Cricetulus griseus: one gene and its partners. The protein of the gene in region 1 interacts with the protein of each later gene in a pairwise test. Links are inferred from orthologs where the notes say so. Each region holds a gene or a part of one and is shown on either strand. Other genes may lie near its edges. The genes, in order: Klhl42, Stxbp4, Stam2, Ddi1 and Sertad1.

Evidence for each region.
Region 2: the proteins of Klhl42 (region 1) and Stxbp4 interact in a two-hybrid assay, tested with the Homo sapiens proteins (2 studies listed by BioGRID and IntAct). The two-hybrid records come from large-scale screens. The link is inferred for Cricetulus griseus from reciprocal best matches to the Homo sapiens genes KLHL42 and STXBP4.
Region 3: the proteins of Klhl42 (region 1) and Stam2 interact in binary tests that used the Homo sapiens proteins (3 or more experiments, as listed by UniProt). The two-hybrid records come from large-scale screens. The link is inferred for Cricetulus griseus from reciprocal best matches to the Homo sapiens genes KLHL42 and STAM2.
Region 4: the proteins of Klhl42 (region 1) and Ddi1 interact in binary tests that used the Homo sapiens proteins (3 or more experiments, as listed by UniProt). The two-hybrid records come from large-scale screens. The link is inferred for Cricetulus griseus from reciprocal best matches to the Homo sapiens genes KLHL42 and DDI1.
Region 5: the proteins of Klhl42 (region 1) and Sertad1 interact in binary tests that used the Homo sapiens proteins (3 or more experiments, as listed by UniProt). The two-hybrid records come from large-scale screens. The link is inferred for Cricetulus griseus from reciprocal best matches to the Homo sapiens genes KLHL42 and SERTAD1.

Annotation. Positions count from the first base shown.
Region 1 is NC_048601.1:2,620,135-2,624,424, forward strand, and holds the start of Klhl42 (kelch-like protein 42), read right to left. Parts: upstream 2,814-4,290; 5' UTR 2,570-2,813; coding exon 1,749-2,569; intron 875-1,748; exon of another isoform or gene 794-874; intron 1-793. UniProt on the Homo sapiens protein: Substrate-specific adapter of a BCR (BTB-CUL3-RBX1) E3 ubiquitin-protein ligase complex required for mitotic progression and cytokinesis. The BCR(KLHL42) E3 ubiquitin ligase complex mediates the ubiquitination and subsequent degradation of KATNA1.
Region 2 is NC_048600.1:103,739,750-103,743,970, forward strand, and holds the start of Stxbp4 (syntaxin-binding protein 4), read right to left. Parts: upstream 2,801-4,221; 5' UTR 2,667-2,800; intron 1-2,666. Other genes in the region: cytochrome c oxidase assembly protein COX11, mitochondrial, read left to right, coding at 2,820-3,140. UniProt on the Homo sapiens protein: Plays a role in the translocation of transport vesicles from the cytoplasm to the plasma membrane. Inhibits the translocation of SLC2A4 from intracellular vesicles to the plasma membrane by STX4A binding and preventing the interaction between STX4A and VAMP2.
Region 3 is NC_048599.1:121,658,789-121,662,301, reverse strand, and holds part of Stam2 (signal transducing adapter molecule 2), read right to left. Parts: intron 1,141-3,513; coding exon 915-1,140; coding exon of another isoform or gene 814-914; 3' UTR 1-813.
Region 4 is NC_048597.1:120,942,975-120,945,867, forward strand, and holds Ddi1 (protein DDI1 homolog 1), read right to left. Parts: upstream 1,719-2,893; coding exon 513-1,718; downstream 1-512. UniProt on the Homo sapiens protein: Probable aspartic protease. Seems to act as a proteasomal shuttle which links the proteasome and replication fork proteins like RTF2. Required, with DDI2, for cellular survival following replication stress.
Region 5 is NC_048602.1:8,436,098-8,440,330, forward strand, and holds the start of Sertad1 (SERTA domain-containing protein 1), read right to left. Parts: upstream 2,814-4,233; 5' UTR 2,680-2,813; intron 2,085-2,679; exon of another isoform or gene 1,990-2,084; intron 656-1,989; exon of another isoform or gene 270-655; intron 170-269; 5' UTR 167-169; coding exon 1-166. UniProt on the Homo sapiens protein: Acts at E2F-responsive promoters as coregulator to integrate signals provided by PHD- and/or bromodomain-containing transcription factors. Stimulates E2F1/TFDP1 transcriptional activity.

The DNA of each region.
Region 1 (4,290 bases):
GATGATATAAATACCATGTTACAGTAGGTCGGATGGAAGCCCACCAACCCCTAGTAATACCTCTGGAAGGGAGAGTGGGTGGCACATTCATCTCTGCTTCTTATAATTCAGCTTTCCAGGGCTTTCTAGGATTTACTTTTTATCTTTATTTGGTGCCTATATGTGTATGTATGCATGTATGTGGGTGCCTGTTAGCTACAGATGCCCTGGAGATGCAGCTACAGGTTATAGCACCCAGTGTGGGAGCTGGGAAACTGAACACCACGTCTTATGAAAGAGCACCAAGTGCTCTCAGCCTCTGAGCCATCAGGACAAGGTATGTTCCTGCAAATAACCCCTAACCTAAGTGTCTCTTGTCCTGCGTTGGACCGGGCAGTTCCAGTTCAGATTTCTTCCTTCTAGTTTCCAGTCATTTCAAGGCAAAGACCACAGTGGGATCTGGGTGGCAGCAGGTGGCCTGGTAGAGAGGGCCTGTCCTGTCGTAGCTACCCTCCCCACCATTTCTGGGGCACTGGTGATTGAATGGAGGCCTCATGAGTTCTAGGCAAGCGCTCTCACACTGAGATATGGTTTTCCCACTCTCCTATGTTTTGCTTGTTATCCAGGCTGGCCTGGAACTCACCTGCAACCTAGAAAGGCCCTTACCTTGGAACCTGCTCGCTTCAGCAGTCTAAGCAGCTGGGGCAACAGGCCTGTAAGACTGAGACAACCTGGGACGACTGTCTGGACTCCCTTTCTCTTCCTGTGTCTGCTTTTTTTTTTTTTTTTTTTATCTTGCTTTCATTTTCTTTTTCTCCAGGCTCCTTTCCTTACTTCTCCTCCCACCCTGACCTCCAAGCTCCTCCATTTCTTCTCTGAGCCACCCATGGTCAAGGTAAGAGGGCTCCACAGGAAGGGAATGAGTGAGGGAGAAAGGAATGAATGCACCTGGCCCTTTGAGTCCACAGGTTCATAGATTCAAACAGTAAGCAGGGGAAGTGTGTATATTGACAACACTGACAAGGTAGATACATTACATTTGAAGCTGTAAGGAACATAGAGATTATTTATTGTAGAAAGCCAGACTCGTTAGTGCACACCTTTAATCCCAGCACTCCAAAGGCTAGAAGGCAGGAGGATCACTTGAGCCTAGCGAGCTCAGGAGTTCAAGACCAGCCTGAGGAAAGAACACACCAAGATAAAGGAAAACCAAGGAACATAAGCAGGGGGGTACATGTATGCTTCATGCTAATAGCTGCAGGATGCTCAGGCAGACAAGAGACTCGAGGGGCAAGGGCATGCCGATTCTGTAGTTGATCCTGCTCTGGGCTCAAGTTTTGGGTCAAAGATGATTGCTGTCTAGGGAGGAAATAAACAAAAAGAAGGGAGAAGGAAGGGGAAAAAAAGAAGTGAATCCCTTTGTGGCGCGTATTAATATCATCATCCTAGGGACGGCGGATTCCTACCCAGGTGCAGAAGGATGCAAAGTCACTGGCAGCGACAACCAAAGTTCCTGAAGCCAGAGTGTTAGATACTGCTGCCAAAGAGGCATTATAATTCGGATCAGACCAGGGAAGGAAAGAGAAGGAAAAAACAGCAGTCATCTTCTGTAATATCCACTTCAAACACACCGAGACAGAGAAACCTGAGGCCCGCACCTGGAAGAAGGTCACTGGGCGGGCCGACTTCCTGCTGGCAGGCCCCGGGCTCCCCGGGAACTCTGCCAGGACAATGAATGGAGGGCTCAGGCCCTGCCGACAGACACTTACCGTTTCTGGTTCATGGAGGCCACCTGCAGCCACTCGTTGGTGGTGGGGTTGTAGGAGTGTGCGGCCGAGATCTCCTGGCTGGTGATCCTGTACCCGCCCACGATGAAGAGGTAATTGTCCAAGACGGCTGAGCCGTAGCCTCTGACGTTCACCAGGTCGGGGGGCAGGTTGTTGGCCAGCGGGAACCAGCGTTCCGTGGTCTCCTCGTACCTAAGCATGGACGGGGGTTCCCCCTGATACGGGTGCGGGGCCAGGGGTCCCCCGAGGAAATCCCCCAGGGCCACCAGAACCGGGGTCCCGCGCATGCGGGCCTCCCTCAGCCTCTGCTTCAGGCTGCAGTCCCCCGGGGCCTGCGGCGGCGACAGCAGGAGCGGGAACTGCGGCTGGCACAGCACCTGGTGGAAGCGCAGCGCCATAAAGCGCAGGCAGGCATCCTGCAGGTCGGGCAGCCCGTACACCTGAGCCAGGCGGTACAGCTCCAAGCAGTTGCCCAGACGCACATGCGACAGCAGCAGGCGCAGCAGCGCCGTGACCTGCAGGAAGGACGCGGCCTCCACCAGCTCGGCCAGCACCTCGTCCTCGCCCAGGCCCCAGCCCTCGCGCGCGCCGCCCGCGTTGATGAAGTCGAGCACCAGCCGCAGGCCCGGCGCGCTCAGGCCGCGCAGCTGCTGCACCTCCGGGCCAGCCTCGGGCCGCACGGCCTCGCGCATGCCGGAGCGGTAGAGCGCGCGGAAGTAGTCGCTCTGCTCGATCAGCTTGCTCTTGCTCACCGGGTAGCAGCGGCCTTCCAGGCTGATCTGCACCACCTCCTCGGCGGACATGGCTGGGCCGCTGGGCCGCTGCGCCCGCCGCCCGCCGCCCGGCCGCGCAGGCTCCTCCCCCGGGCTCACACCCTCCGCCGAGCCGGGCCTGCGCCCGCGCTTCCTTCCGCCGCCGCGGGCCCCCGGCTCAGCGCCGCCGGCACGTCATGCGCCCTCCGAGTAAATGGCCTCTCTGTGTCTTTTATCGACGTGTCCGTGTGGGTGCGTGCGCGTCAGCGCGGGTGTCAGGAGGCCAAAGGCGTCACACGACCCTGCAGCCCGAGGCACTGGCGGTTGTGAGCCGCCCTACGCAGGAACAGGAACCGAACTCCCGACCTCCGCAGCAGCAGTGTGCACACTTAACCACTGCGTGTCCCTCCAGCACGGTCTTTTTGTAATTGATCAGGAAACAAAGAAACAAACGCGCCGGTTCGCCATGCCCTCTCCCTATGCACAAATCATTGTAGCGTTTCCTGCAGCAGCTCAGGCAGCTGTCCCTGCTCAGTTTTCTAGGACCAGTCAGTCAGCACTGCTAGGTTTGCACTGTGACCGGCCTGGCCTGGTGGTCCAAGAATAATACACTGAGGGATTACTGGAGCTAAGGAGTTTTAGAGGTGTTGTTAACTCCATGGACAAGACAGACAGACACAGACAGACGGGCAATGGCATAGTCGGGCCTCCAAGGAGAGTTCAGAGCTCAGCACCAGAAGCAGCAAGTAGGGTCTCTGGAGAGAACCAGAGGCCAAGAGAGCACCCGAAGGGGCAGGGGCGGGTGGATGGAGAGGGCACTGAGGTGCATTAGGCCTGTCACCTCCAGGTAGAAGTCTGACCTGGGCAGCACCTGTCACTCAACACCTTGCCCGTCTCCCCTGGAGGCTCACTTGGTTAGAAGACTGATTCCTAAGGGCTCGCTGTGGTGAAGTGGTAGTGTTTGCAGGCAAGGTGGCCCGCATTGAATTCCCCAGCATAACTGTGTCAGTCCGTGGGCTGCTCCACAGAGAGGGGGCTTTCAGCCTTTGTGTTCTGCAGAATACAAACAAGGATAAGGCACAAGAAAGTACAGAAAACATTCTAGTAGAGTCCAGCCTTGCTGGGGCAAAGGGCCACTCACACACACACACACACACACACACACACACACACACACACACACAGACCCCGGACTTGTTATACTTTGTTACTTTCTTGGATTCTCTGAGAAACTGGAGACATTGCACTGTATGATTGACAGGCCTTGAATCATTCCTGGATGGCTTCCATGGGTTATCTGTCTGTCACTCTCAGTGTTTGGGGTGTGAGGAAGGTGCAGGTGCGGGGCCAAGGATTTAGCAGTCTCTATGGCAAGGCAGAGTGCCATGTCTAGGATTAGATGTTAGGCTGGGGGCTGCTGGGAGGCATGACGTCAAAGAGGCTGGACCTGATCTGTCTGTACCTCCTTTAGCCACGAGGCAGGGATCAACGGGTCACCAGAAGGACAGGCTCTTAGTCTCCAGCTCTTTAGAACCTTTACCAATGGGAGCTTTTGTTTCCAGATCACAGATACGCCTTCACCTGGTATTCTCTTGCCTTTTAAAGACAAACCAAAAAAGCCACCCTTAGAGGCTGATTCTCATTAGAAAGGCAATTCAGCCATGGTCACTTTACCACGGCAAGTCAGCTGGGACTGGAATCTGGAGTGTTCCCTGACAACACCGGGCACCGATCCCGCAAGGTAGGTTGTTGGCCCTGGACAACACAATGAC
Region 2 (4,221 bases), on another chromosome or scaffold:
GTTGTGTCCTTGTAATCAATACTCATGTATGTATTAAGTATACAGTTCCAGAATAGCATGTCTACTGTCTTCTAAAATGGTACAGAGATCTTTAAGATTAGGGAAAGGAGGTGAAGGATAAGTGGAAATTTTATTATGTCTGCAATGATTACGTAACTTTTGAAATAATTTCAAAGTAAATTTTGGAAATTGAAATATTTTAATTACACACTTTAATAAACACGAACTGTCATTTTATATTATCATATAGGGATTGGATTGTTGCCTATTTTATTTTATTAAGAGATATCTAGGGGCTGGAGAGATGGCTCAGAAGTTAAGAGTACTGACTGTTCTTTCAGAGGTCCTGAGTTCAATTACCAGCTACCACATGGTGGCTCACAACTATCTATAATGAGATATGGTGCCCTCTTCTGTTGTGCAAGCATATATGGAGACAAAATGTTGTATACATAACAAATAAATAAATCTTTAAAAAAAAAAGAGAAATCTAGAAAGACCTAGTTCACTTTACTGCAATCAAAATGGCTGTACATCAGATATTCATTTTCAATTAATAAATGAAAGCATTCATGACTACAACTGTAATAATGACATACTTACACAACTGTTTTGAATAATCTGGAGAAAAAAATACCTGGAAGTGGGGGGAGGGAGTTGAAGGATATATACTGTTAGCTTCAAGCACATTAATGTTAGCATAGGATTTAAAAAAAATTTACAAGTATATTGCCTGCATGTATGTATGTGGAGCACCTGAAGAGACTAGAAAAGGGTAGCAGGGCCTCTGGAGCTGGAGTCAAAGCTCTGAGTCCCCAAATAAAGGCTGGGAACTGAACCCAGGTCTGCCTACAAGAAAAGCAAATGCTTTTAATTTCCATCTGAGCCCCCCCTAGTATGGAATTTGAGTCTCTGTTGTCAGAAAATTAAAATGAGAGATTTTATCCTGAATATCTGACAATCTGGCATAAGAATCAAGGTACATACAGAGGGAAAGGGTGATCAAACAGTGCCATAACAAAACTGAAGCAAGTTTGTGGAGTAAGAGTTTTGTAGTTTGTGTAACAATGCACCCGAGTGCTGTACTAGACAGTGACTCAGATCTTATGAGCTCTGCAATTTTGAAGCCCGGTGGCCACTGATGAGCTACTTATTCAAGGTCTCCATCTCCTCTTAGACTACCACTCCAGTTGCCTCTTTCCTTCTCATCATGTGACTAGCACCTTTGTCTTCCTTCAGTGTGAAGAAACTCAGATGGAACCACTCCTGTGTTCCTAAGTAAGCTTCCCTTAGACATGGTTTAAATGACTTTATCAGGTCTTTGTGTACCTGCTGTGACCCCATTTCCTTTCCCGTCAGCTCTGCTCATTATGCAAGATTCACACTGACCCTGTGTTTTGTTTTTTCTAATCCTACCCAACCCATTCCTGCCTCTGGACTTGTGTATGACCTGAAACTGTTGTTTTGTGGGTAGCTCTTTTTCAGGGTTCAGGAATAGGCTCAAATGTCACCTCTAGGAAGACCTTATTTTACCTCTTAGAGAAAGACATAACCTCAGTATCTCTCATTGTCACTCTCAATTACTTCATGCCACCAGCTATTTTGATGGCAGACACTGTTATCTGAAATCTCCTTATTTAAAGGTTTATTTTCTGAGTCCTTCAGTAGACAGGGCAATGAATAACAAAGGTGATTATGCCTGATTTATTTTTGGATGGCGCCCCAGGCAATTAAAAAAGTGCAAGGAATAAATGTTAACAGTTCTTTAGGGTTTCAGGTTTCTAACCCACAAAGCGGAGATAATTAGACCCACTCTAGCCATTAGAAATTAGACCTAACTTTTATGAAATTCTTACTATGCCTGAAGCAGTGGGGAAATCACTTTATATGTTCATCCTCGTAAACTACCTTGATTTCCAGTCACGAAATAACACCAGCGGGTTACAGGGAAGTTATAAATAACATAAAATAAAACAAAATAAAATAAAAGGAAGGACAAGACCTTAGGAAATTTATCAGTGCTTAACCTCAGAATCTGCTCTTAGCTGCTATTTTATAACTGTCTTTGTTTGTTCTATTAGAAAACTGAAGAAAGCTATTGCATATATCCCGCGGGGGGAGGGGGGGTGACTCTGCCTGCAGGATGCATAGATGCATAGCCTTATTCTTTTCAGCCCCTCCTTTAAGGGCCCTCATATCTTGGTCCTTCTGTTCTGAACAAACTGCAATTTGCGAGCGGTTCTCTGACTTGATTTTTGGCTGGGTAAACAGCAAAGAGCTATCAGCGCAGTGGAAAACTTCTGCCCGCGGGCTGAGGAGATGCAGACGCCCAGTGCTGGAGAGGGATGCGGTGTGCACAGTAAGCAGTCATCAAAGAGGGAAGTTTGTCTGAGCTCAGGTCCGAGACAGAATCCACAGGGCTAGTAAACTCCAAGTGGAAGCCCCGCGGGAGAGCCGCCGCTGGGAGCCGCTGAGACAAAGGCTGGTGGAGTTTGGGGTGTAAGAGGGGTGTAAGTGTTACAGCACAATCCCCAGGGAGGAGCTTGTCTGCAGAGGGCCCAGATGCACTTTCCACAAAGTAAATCAAAGAAGTATGAGAGGGAAACAAAGTGCAAGCAAGGCACAGCCACCTAGCAAAAAAACAAAACAAAAAAACGCGAACTTACCCTCTTCTGGCCACCCGGCCTCCGTAGCTCGGCGGCTACCTGAGGAATCTGGTAGTCAAGGCAGCGGCGGGGCTCAACCCGCGCGTGCGCGCGTACGCGGGACACGCGAGGCATCGCGAGATTCCGCTGAGCGGGCCCTGGTTCCGGGGGGTTATGGGAGGGTTTTGGTGCCGGGGATGGAGGTCGGTCGCTCTGTGCGGCCGCTGCTGGAGGCCGCCTGCGTGGCCGGGCCGGAGCGTGGAGAGTGCCGAGCGCGGACTGAGGCGGCTCGGGACATGGAAGCGCCCGAGCGGGGCCCGGGGTCCCGCCGCGCAGCCGCCCCGGCGGCCGGCGAGCAGCAACCCTTTCCAGCGCGCGCAGGAGGACGAGTGGCGGCGGCGGAACAAGACGGTGCTCACCTACGTGGCCGCGGCCGCCGTGGGCATGCTGGGGGCCTCCTACGCCGCCGTGCCCCTCTATCGGCTCTACTGCCAGGTAGGGAGGGACCGGGTGCGGGCCGGATGCCGCCGGCGCCCTGCGGGGCCTCTGCCTGGGAGACGGAGGTCAGCCCAGAAAGCTGCCCGCGGAAGGCCGGGTCGGCAACGATGGGGCTTGCACGGGGAGGAAGGAGCGTCCTGCCGTGCTGTGCAGCGCAGGCTACTCCCCGGCACTTAGTGAGTGCAGCAGGTTCCCGGGACACCCCGCCCCTCCAAAATAAAAATTAAAAATAAAACAAAACAAGGATCGTCCACCCTGAAATGCCAGTCGCACTGAGACCGACAGAAAGGACGTCATTGAGACTCCGGAGCGTGTCTGTGCACATGCTTTCCTCGGGCTGTGTTAACGTTAGGTTTTTAAAATGTCATCTTAGGATCAAGTTCCGTCTTAGAATCAAGTTCCATGTTTAGCACACTGGCCATGCAATCACCAGGTGTTAGAGCAAGAAATGAGGAAGTTAAATATAGGAAGACGTGGAACGCAGCGGTCCCTTTGGATGAGCAAATTGAAATACAACCCATCGAAACCTATTATCGCATCGAACTTGAGAAACTTTAATATAACACGTGCCCCAAGAATGAATGAATGAATGAATAAATAAATAAATAAATAAATATGGAGAATGAATATATATATGGAGTTTATATTTGAAGAACACTTAAATTGCTTTTTATCCAACCGACTTAAATTCTTTAGGAAAACGGTTCATCTTAAAACTCAGTCTCCTATCAGAATGATATACTTAACCTGTTAAATAAGGTCAAATACTTGCTCTCGATTTACCTTTTAGGATGAAAGTGTAGTTTTGACAATGTCGAGGGAAATTGAATGAAGCTAAGTAACTTGTGTAATGAGAGAAAGATGTCGATACAGTAGCTTTTTTTAGAGTCTTCCATTAGCCTCACGCTTGGCTTTTCGTTTAGGAAAGGTAAAATTATGTGAAAATCAGACTTCCGTTAACCTCAAGCAGCAGAAGGATGTCTTGGAAGTAGCATCACCCCCACATCTGATAAGGAAATAATAGCGGTGAAGAAATGTCAGATAAAAATTCCTGGTGCTTTATGGTAGTTGACTGGAT
Region 3 (3,513 bases), on another chromosome or scaffold:
AATGGAATGTCAATCACTGCTGTAAGAAAGTAACACGCCCACCTCATACTTCACACCATGATGGTTTCTATCACATCAGATTATGAAGAGTCTCCTGACTCAACTTCACAGATGATCCCTAAGAAGGCAGGAAGGAAAGCTAAAGGACAGTGCCTTCATTAGACAAGGCCAATGTCACCTGAAAAGGTCAACAGTGGCAATTCAAAATACAAGAGACAGAATGCCTTTCCTCGGGGAAGGCTAACATTGTGTGAGGCATTCCTAGGCCCACTGCTATCACAGGACTGGCTAACTGCTTCACCACATTTGCATTTACATGGCTTTCACTGTTAATAACAGAAAATACTTTTGTTCTTTCCAAATTGCTCTTGCTTCTGTACACAATTATATGCTAATTATTACTCAGCATAACACTAGGAGCAAAACTGACAGTACTGCAAACACAACTGTAATTTAAGGAGCCAAAAGGAATACACTGGCAATCTTAAGGCTTACACTAAAAGATGTTCATCTTTTAAAATAATAGGGTGGGAAAAATTTGAAAAAAAATGCAGACAAAAATGCTTAAATGTCTTCAGTGCTCCTCAAAAATCACATCCTAGAGGAAACAATGGTTTCCTTAAAGGAACACTCTGATACTCCTATCTTATACCATTGTAGTGTTATAAGGCTGCTCATCGAGGGCCAGAAAGTACAAAACTAACTGAAACATTTTCAAGGGGCCTCTGATCAAAAGATGAGCTTCGCGAGAACTGGACTGAGAAACAACCCTTTTATGGCCTTCAGGGTAGGTGGGGTTTTGTGCTTTATTATTCATGGTTCTTTTTGATTGAGAAGGGAGTTTGAATATTTCAGATCAGAACCCCCGGGGTTGAGTGACAGGCCTACAAGGACTTCCAACAGCCCTGGCATGTCTAAAGGAGAGGCTGCTGGTGGTAACTTGGTGGCTGTGCAGCTGGAGGTGCAGGAACTGCCACTGGAAAGCCAGCCAGCTGTGGCAAACTGGACGCTGTGTTCTGGTAAGAAGACACACCCGCTGACATCCCCATGGGCTGTGTGTAAGCAGCTGGACCAGCAGCTGACTGAAGATGAGAGCTCTGGTTCATGTAGGAAGGGTTGGAAACCGTGTCCTGTGTAGTGCTGCAAAAGAAATTTTACAAAGAAAATCACATTTACCTTGAGTTATGGCAACAGATCATCAAGACAAACATGTTTTTTCCATCTTTTCAAGCTTATGTAGTCATCAGATACTGTTAACATAATTTTGTTTATTTGGTTTTTGAGACAGGGTTTCTCTGTGTAGCAGTCCTGGAACTTGCTCTGTAGACCAGGCTGGCCTGGAACTCACAGAAATCCAGAAATCTCTTGCCTCCAGAGTTCTGGGACTAAAAGGTGTGTGCCACCCCTGCCTGGAATGACTTTTTTACTCTGAAGAGCAGGGCTGGAGAGCTGATGCAGGGTGCAGAGGACCTGAACTGGAGCCTCAGCTAACCTGGGTCAGGGAGTCAGAGACAGGCATCCCTGCCTAGCAGTCTAGCCAGAACTGAGTGCTCTGCTCCTGATTCAGTGAGAGACTGCATCAAAAAATAAATAAGTGGATGGTGCTCGAGGGATGGCTCAGCAGTTAAGAACACTGGTTGCTCTTCCAGATGACCCAGCTTAATCCCCAGCACTCACATGGCAGTTCACAACCATCTGTGCCTCAAGTTCCTAGAGATCGGATATTGTTTTGGCCTTGGAAAGTGTCAGGCACACAAATGGTGCACAGACACGCATGCAGACAGAACAACCAGGCACACACAATTTAATATAAATAAACAAATGGTGGAGATGAGAATGAAGAAGGCACCCTAACTTCTGGCCTCCATACATGCCTACATGGGCAGCAAACTAGCAAGGTAAATGTACCCACATAAACACACCTACACCACATACACAAAGAAAAAAGAAAGGAGAGGGAAGGGGTGGCAGGCACTAGATCAGGTGAAAAAGTGGCAAGACAAATTCCTAAACAGCCCAAGTAGATGGGAGAGGAGGATAAGGCTTTCTAACAAAGTGAAGAAACTCAATGAAGACAGAGAAGGTCCAGCCACGAGTGGAAGAAATCAGACAAAAAGAAAGCTGTTCTTTCACCTGAGATGACATTGAACACTGATGTATTTGTATGTATGTATGTATGTATGTGTGTGTGTGTGTGTGTGTGTGTGTGTGTGTGTGTGTGTGTGTATGTATGTATGTATGTATGTATGTAATTAACCAAAATATATTTTTGGTTTTTTGAGACAGGGTTTCTGTGTATAGCTTTGGAGCCTGTCCTGGAACTAGCTCTTGTAGACCAGGCTGGTCTCGAACTTACAGAGATCCACCTCCCTCTGCCTCCCAAGTGCTGGGATTAAGGGTTATGCCACCACCACCTGGCCTTATTTATTTATATTTATATTTAAGGGCAGGGTCTCACTTTGTAGCCTTGGCTATCCTGGAACTCACTCTGTAGACCAGGCTGTCCTTGTACTCAAAGAAATCTGCTTGCCTTTGTATCCGAAGTACTAAGACTTACATTTTTTTATTTAAACCTTGAGGCTCTGTGCAATAATTACAACAAAGTGTTGTTATCTTGGATTCTCCTGTACACTATAGAAAACTTTTTTTAAAAAAATCAGAAAATAGGAATGGTCACCAGGCGGTGGTGGCACATGCCTTTAATCCCAGTACTCAGGAGGCAGAGGCAGGTAGATCTCTGTGAGTTCAAGGCCAGTCTCATCTATAAGAGCTAGTTCCAGGACAGCTAAGTTTACAAAGAGAAACCCTGTCTCAAAAAACCAAACAAACAAACAAACAAAAAGAAAAGACAAAAAAGGAGTGCTCAGAAAAAAATATTAACAAAATGCAAGATTACAAGGCTTGCTGGGCGTTGGTGGCACACACCTTTAATCCCAGCACTCGGGAGGCAGAGCAGGTGGATCTCTGTGAGTTCGAGGCCAGCCTGGTCTCCAGAGAGTGCCAGGATAGGCTCCAAAGCTACACAGAGAAACCCTGTCTTGAACCCCCCCCCCCAAAAAAAAGATTACAAGGCTTACTTAACTGGCTTTAACCACTCTCTCAAAGCTGTTTTTGTCTGTGATGCCTATGGCCAGCATCAGAGAGCAGAGCCCTGTTCAAAATGAACCATTGCACCTCCATACCCCTAAGCTTTTCTTTGAGAAGAACTCAGCACTTTCAAAGAGATAAGAGTGTACTCTACATAACAGAGCACCCTGCACAACAGAGTACCCTGAATAATAGTGTACCCTGCATAACAGTGTACCCTGAATAATAGTGTACTCTGTATAACAGTGTACCCTGAATAATAGTGTACCCTGCATAACAGTATACCCTGAATAATAGTGTACCCTGCATAACAGTGTACCCTGAATAATAGTATACCCTGCATAACAGTGTACCCTGAATAATAGTGTACCCTGCATAACAGTGTACCTGAATAACAGTGTACCCTGCACAACAGCATACCTGAAT
Region 4 (2,893 bases), on another chromosome or scaffold:
TTCTGGCTTCTGTGGGCACTTAAACACACACACACACACACACACACACACACACACACACACACACACGAGGCGAGGGCAGGGATAATACAAAACCATTGCTCTTGCTAATATAAAATCCTTTTGTTTACATGTATATTTGTAGTCTGAAAGAATGGCTTTTTTTTTAGGAACTTATGCAAAATAAACAGCCCTTGGTTTGGACATGCCCTCCCTGTAATCTGACAGGAAATACTTGTTTTCCCTTTAATAGATGTTGGGAAACCAACTTGGATCTCCAGCCCTTCCCCTGGATGAGGTTCAGTCATCTGGAGTGAAGGAATGGACCCACATACACACACTGCCATGAGTCAGTGATGACTTACATAGTCACCCATTTGTGAACTCAGTCACAAGGCCAGGCTGGTTGCTAAGATGTTTTTAATGATGACATTGCCATTGAGCTCATGTCTTATACTTTTCTGGGACCTATGGCTTGCTCCCTCGTGGCAGTGGCTTATATACAACCTGATTCAATGCTGTTTTCGTCCTGGACCCTTGACTGGATGTTTGATGATATTGCCTGGTACTTCCTTATCCGAAGAGTCTTCTTGCACAGTTCCACTCACCAGTCTGGCACACAAGGGCAACTCTCCCTCAGGAAGGAAGTGTGTTTGTGTGCCGGTGGTGCCAATGACCAGCACATTTTTCTTTAGGTCGATGGAACACTGATGCCTCCTGAGCATATCAAGCCCTAGAAGGATATCCATCGGCTGCTCTTCCAGTATGGAGAAAGAGCACTGTAAGAAATCACCTTCAATCTGAATCTGAGCCAGATGAACTCGGCCCACAATCCTCTGTGTGCCCACTCCCTTAGCAACCCCGGCCCATCGCTGGTCCACCAGTCTCATGATGTTACATCTCTCAGCACATGCTTGGCTCATGATAGTCATCTGAGCACCCGAGTCAACGAAAGCCTTTAAAGGGTGCCCGTTCACTTTGCAGTTAATATAGAGCATAGCCACTTGTCCAAAACTCTCTGGAGCCTCTTCCATAGCTATGTTCATATTTTCTTCAATATTCTGTTGTCTGATTTCTTCTTCTATTCTAGCCTGAGCTTCCTGATCAAATGGGTCTGCAGAATAAAGACGAACCATCTCTTGCTCTCTCAATGCCCTTTCCCTCTGCTGTTCCATCAGGACCTGAGAAAATGTCTCGAGGCTTCCACTAAGCAGAGCTTCAGCCAAAGCGGGATTCCGTTCCTTCAACAGGGACAGATCATGAGGGTTGGAAAGCAGCATGCTGCGAATCAGAGCAGGGCTATTGAGATCCCGAGCATAGGCCATATTCTCTCCCGAGGCCAATCCGTGCGCTTGTGTTGATGGTATACGTTGCTGACGCTGATGATGATGGTGACGGGTACTTGATGTTCCAGGTATGGCTGACCCGGTGAAATCTGCTCGAGGCTGGTTTGGGGTCCTTCCTGGAGTCCGAAGTCCCACATTGTCCTTCTGAAGTAGTACAACCATATCACCATCTTTGAGGCCGTAGGTGCCCAGGGAACAATGGTCATCTGTGAGGAGTTGTTCCATGTAGACGAACTGAATCTCCTCAGCAGGTACACCAGACTCAAGCTCACAGAGGACTCTGAAGTTGCAGAGCTCAAAGTCAGGGCTGACCTGGAGGGAAAAGGTTGCCTCTGTGAGGTCCCTACGCACACAGTACACAGTTATCAGCATGGTACACACTCAGGAAAGCCACGTTGGCAGAAAACATCTGGTGGATCACTGGCTGACTGGTGCTGGTTTGGGTTGATGTCTGGCCTGCCCCTTACACCTTGTTATGAAACTCATTCAACTCTCAGAAAGGCAAAGGCAGTGACCAGAATGGAGGCTGCCTCCCAGCCCCAGTGCCAGCCGATGGCCCCATTGAGCCTCAAGGTAACAAGTCCATGTGGTATGTACTGCTTGGAACTTAGAACATCTGTTTCCATAGAAATTGTTACTCAAGGCCAGTGGTTTCCAAGGCTGGTCTTCAAATTCTACTTAATACTAGCCACGCAGAACATCTAAATTCTCTTAACCATGCCAATATTCAGCCTGTTAACTATAGGCCTGTATTTCACATACTTATTCTTATCTCTGAGACAGTGCGGTTGTGACTTGGACATGACAAGAACCATGATATATTCTTAGTAGGAGACATAGGTGCTTGCCATTGAAGGTAGATGAGTAGATCGTGACCTGAGGTGGATGTCTTCAGCACCTCTGACAGTATACAGAGGCTGTATCTGCTATAGAAGTGACAACCTGAATGCAGAAGGAGGAATATTTTTCTGGGTGAGAAAAGGTTAGTCATTTCAGACAAATTCAGAGACAAAGGAGAAAGGAAGAACAGGAATGTGTGGTTCCTCTGAGGAACCCAGTTTGACACTGATTCTATAGTAAAGTACATGGCAATCCAGAAGATAAATATGCCTCTCTCTGACCTTGAGACACAGCGGCCCCCACCACCCAAACAAGTACCAACCTCAAAGTAGAGACTCTGAAGTCAAGGATGATTGGGTAGAACTCTTGTGAACTCAATTTTCTTCCCTGAAACTGTTCTGTGCTGTAAAGAGTTCACAGGTCCCTGGACCCTCCCTCCCAGGTGTCTACTTATGAACCAAAGGTGGTCACAGTCTTGTGCCATGCACAACCTCACCCCTATTTAGGAATTTTCAGCTGTGTTCCACAATACAGAGGCTATTGCATCAGCTTAAAGAATTTTTTTTTATTTCTGTTTCTCTTGTGTTTCAGTTGAAAGACTATCACTTCTTGCTCTAATTATCTCAACATTGCCATATGCTTTTTTTTCTTATATTAGGAATGTTGATTGAATGCATAACGGGAAACATTAACTGGGTTATAGGGAA
Region 5 (4,233 bases), on another chromosome or scaffold:
GGAGCTTGAGCACCGAGAGGTCAAAGAGAGAACTGGAAGCCACGGGCGGGGGGGTCTGTGCGGCTGCTGGGTGGCCTTGATCTAACCACCAGGAGTCCACCGAGAGGCCTTCCTCCTCCTTCTTCTCCTCCTCCTCCCGTTTTCGCTTTAGACCCTTGCTCAGCATTGTCTGCAGGGAGGAAGGAGCCATTCAGTTAGGGAAAGTCAATATTCAGGTCACACCCAGCTCTGACAACTGCTGTCAGCGTGAGCTTCACAAGGCAACTAACCTCCCAGTCCAGGTTTTCTAAGCAAATTCTTCCTCATTTTTAATGAGACAGGATCACACAACTCAGGCTGGCCTCGAGTTTATGATCATCTCTTACCCACAGCCCCCGTGCTGGGACTACAGGTGTATGCCACCACGCTTGGTATACTGGATGCTGGGGATGGAACTCAGGGCTTCCTGCATGTAAAGCAAACATTCCACCAACTGAGCCTGCTCAGTAAAGTTCTAAGAAACAGCTAACATCTACATTGTAAGTTGCTATATGGATTAGATTAACAAAAGAATAAAAAGCCCTTGCATCATGGTCTTTAGAACTTTCAAATTTTACTTTTATTTTATTTTTATTTTCTGGTTTTTCAAGACAAGGTTTCTCTGTATTGCTTTGGAGCCTGTCCTGGAACTCACTCTGTAGACCAGGCTGGCCTTGAACTCAGAGATCCGCCTGCCTCTGCCTCCCGAGTGCTGGGATTAAAGGCATGAGCTACAAATGCCTGGCTAATTTTACTTTTATTTTAAATTTTGTGGTGTGTGTGTGTGTATATGCACGAGAGTGTAGATGCCCAAGGAAGCCACCTGTTGGAGTCCCTGGAGCTGGAGTTACAGCAATTATAAGCCATTCCATTTGGGTGCTGGGAATCTCTTGCGTCCTCTGTAGCAATAGCAAGCTCTTTTTTTGGGGGGGTGGGGTGCAGTTTTGAGACAGGGTTTCTCTGTGGCTTTGGAGGCTGTCCTGGAACTAGCAATAGCAAGCTCTTAACAACCATAACTAGTATTTATTTGTAAGTACTTTTTGGTTTTGCTCTTTTTTATTATTTATTTATTTATTTATTTTGGTTTTTCGAGACAGGGCTTCTCTGTAGCTTTGGAGCCGGTCCTGGAACTCACTCTATAGATCAGGCTGGCCTCAAAACTCTAGAGATCTGCCTGCCTCTGCCTCCTGAGTGCTGGGATTAAAGATGTGTGGCAGTGCCTGGATGGTTTTGCTCCAGGTTTTGTGACAGGGCCTCACACTGTAGTTAGTCCAGGCTGGCTGGCTATCCCAGGCAGTCCTTCTGCCCCAGCCTCCCAAGGGTTAGGATTACAGGTAGGTGCCGCCTCTTGGCTGGAAATGCAGCCTACTTGTACAGTTCAAGGCATAGAATGTCTGCTTGGCATCAAACATTATTTAATCCAATAGAGGGAATGCACAGATAGCGATAGGAGGTACTTTGGGCAGTTTCTGTAAAGGAGATACTTCGGATCTGATGTAGGCAGTGTAGACGACAGCTATGGAGAACCAGGGGCCGGGCATTCCCGGAAGAGCCAATGGAAGACCGAGAGAGGCAAATCTTAACCGGGGAAGGGAAAAAAAAGAAAAAAGAAAAAAGAAAACCCACACAAGGAGCAAGCGCACAGAGTGACACGGTAGGAGTCCCGGTGGGGGTGGGGAGCAGGCGGGGGGGGGGGAGGCGGCTTGGATTTTCAGAGTGACAGGACAGAGTCCTCCGGGGAGGCAGGAGGGTCGAGCAGGGGGCCGAAGGCGACGTTTCGCTGACGCCGGGGGCGGGCGGGCGGGCTGCCGGTGGGGCAGCATCGGGGAGAGAGAGGGTGAGCGGGGTGGGGGCGGCCGGGGCACTGACGGCTGGAGTTTGGGGGAGCCCGAGCTGCTAAGCACAAGGAAGCGGCGGCCCCTGGAGTTAGCGGGGAGAGCCGGGGGGCCGCGGGGCTCGGCCACTGAGTACCCAAGTTTGGAGAAATCCACACTTCCTTCCATGCGGCGAGGAGACCGGAGTCTGGGACCCCGGAGTGGCATCTCGGGGGGCGGGGGGGGGGACACAAAGGATCGGGGGGGAAGGGGGGGAGGCTCAGCCCTGGGGACGCTGCCTAGACAGCCCCAACAAGACCCCGGAGTCTTGGCTCGCCCTTCCCGCTCGCCCTTTGCGCGCAGACCCTCGGCAGGCAACCGCAGGAATTCAGCCCCCGCCTCGACTCCGCCCCCGGGCGCAGGCGCCCCCTAGCGGCAGCCCGGCCAGGGCTTCCCCGGGGACTCCGGCCCCTCAGACCCGGGGCCCCGGCGAGCCGCGACCCCCGCGGGCCGCCCAGAGCCTTCCCTGGCTTCCGGAAGGCGGCAGCGCAGCAGCGGCGGCAGCGGCGGCGCGGCGGCGGCGGGGCGGGTGAGTCACGCAGCCGGAGCCAGGGAGCCTGCGCCTCCGCCCCCTTCTCCGGCTCCGGCGTGATTCACTCAGTCCGGCCCGGACGGGCGTCACGTTCAGGCCCCGGGCGCCCGCCCGGATCCCGGACAACCCCGGCGAACATCTCCCCAACCGGGGGATCGAACACGCTAAAAACACCTCGGGCCGTCGGTACTCCCACCCTCCCCCGCCTCTCTCCTCCCACCCCCCCACCACCACCGGGCCCCCTCATTTACATACCCAGATCACTCGCGGCCAATCAGAACGAAGAGGGAGCCACACGCAGCCAATCAGGAAGCGGCAGCAGGCGCATCGCTCGGCTCGCCCGGCTCCCGCAACCGCCGGCGCCCGGGACGGGAGACGCTGCTCTGACTCCGGCGCACGACTCCGGCCACTCCACAATCCTTAGTTCCCGCCCACTCGCGTGGCGGCCCCGCCCTCCCGCCCAGGGCTCGGCTCTCATTGGTGGGGGTGGGCGGAGCCTGCGGGGGGGCCGTCCCCAAGGGAGGGGAGGCGGTCCTTAAAGCGCATGCCCGGGAGCTCTCCCGGAGCCCTGAAACTAGTAGCGATTTCTCCTTACTGGGCGGGGTGACAGGTAGGGGCTTCGGAGGTTTTTTAAGGCTCAGGCGGATCACTTTGTGAGCTTGGAGAGAGGGATGAGTTCTGGGAGAGGGACGCGGTTTATTAAATCGACCTTCCTCTTGAGAGCTACCGTGTTAAGAGTGTTGTCTCCAGCCGGGCTCCGCTCTAATTAAAGACGGGAGTAAGGTGGACATGGAATAATGGCATGAGGGTCACATCCTGGACATCAGTGCCTCCGGAGTAGCGGCGTGACTTTGGACAACAGGCTAAAGCCCTCAAAATCTGTTTCCTTTCGGAGTGTGGTTGTTCACAAACCATAATCCCAGCGTGGGAAGACTGAAGCAGGGGCATTGCTGGGAGTTTGAAGCCAGACTGAGTTCCAGGCCAGCCTGGGCTTCAGAGTGAGATCCTGTCTCAAAAGAAGAAAGGGCGAAATTTTTTGTTTGTTTGTTTTGTATTTTTCTGAGACAGTTTCACCAAGTTGCTCAACTTAGCCTGGAATACAAAGCAATCATCTTTCCTCAGCCCCTCAAGTAACTGGAATTAGGGGATTTTTTTTTTTATTTTATTTTTTTGAGACAGGGTTTCTCTGAGTAGCCCTGGCTGTCCTGGAACTCCCTCTGTACACCAGGCTGGCCTCGAGCTCACAGAGATTCACTTGCCTCTGCCTCAGAGTGCTGGGATTAAAGCCCTAAGCTCCACAGCTGGCCTTTAACTAGTCTTAAAGATGCCAGGGGAGATGCAGTTCAGCGAAAGAGTGCTTGCCTAGCATTCCGTCATGTTAAACACCTGTGTTTGATTACAGCACTGAAGAAAAAAAAAAAAAAAGCCTGATGATTTACTAAGAGTAGAGTAGAATGTTTAGGTGCTTATTGGTTAAAAGCACTTGCTCAGGGCTGGAGAGACGGCTCAGAGGTTAAGAGCACTGGCTGCTCTTCCTGGAGACTGGGTTCAATTTCCAGCATCCAGCTCACAACTGTCTGTTCCTCCAGCTGCAGGGGATCTGACACCCTCGCACAGACGTACATGGAAGCAATGCAACAATGCACATAAAATAAAAATAAATAAATTATTAGAAGCACTTGCTCTCAAAGAGGACCAGGTTCAGTTCCTAGCACTCACGTAGCAGCTCACAGCTGTCCTTCACTCTAGTTCCAGGGGGTCTGGGATCCTCTTTGGTGCCTAGGCCCCAGGCACACATATGATGCACAG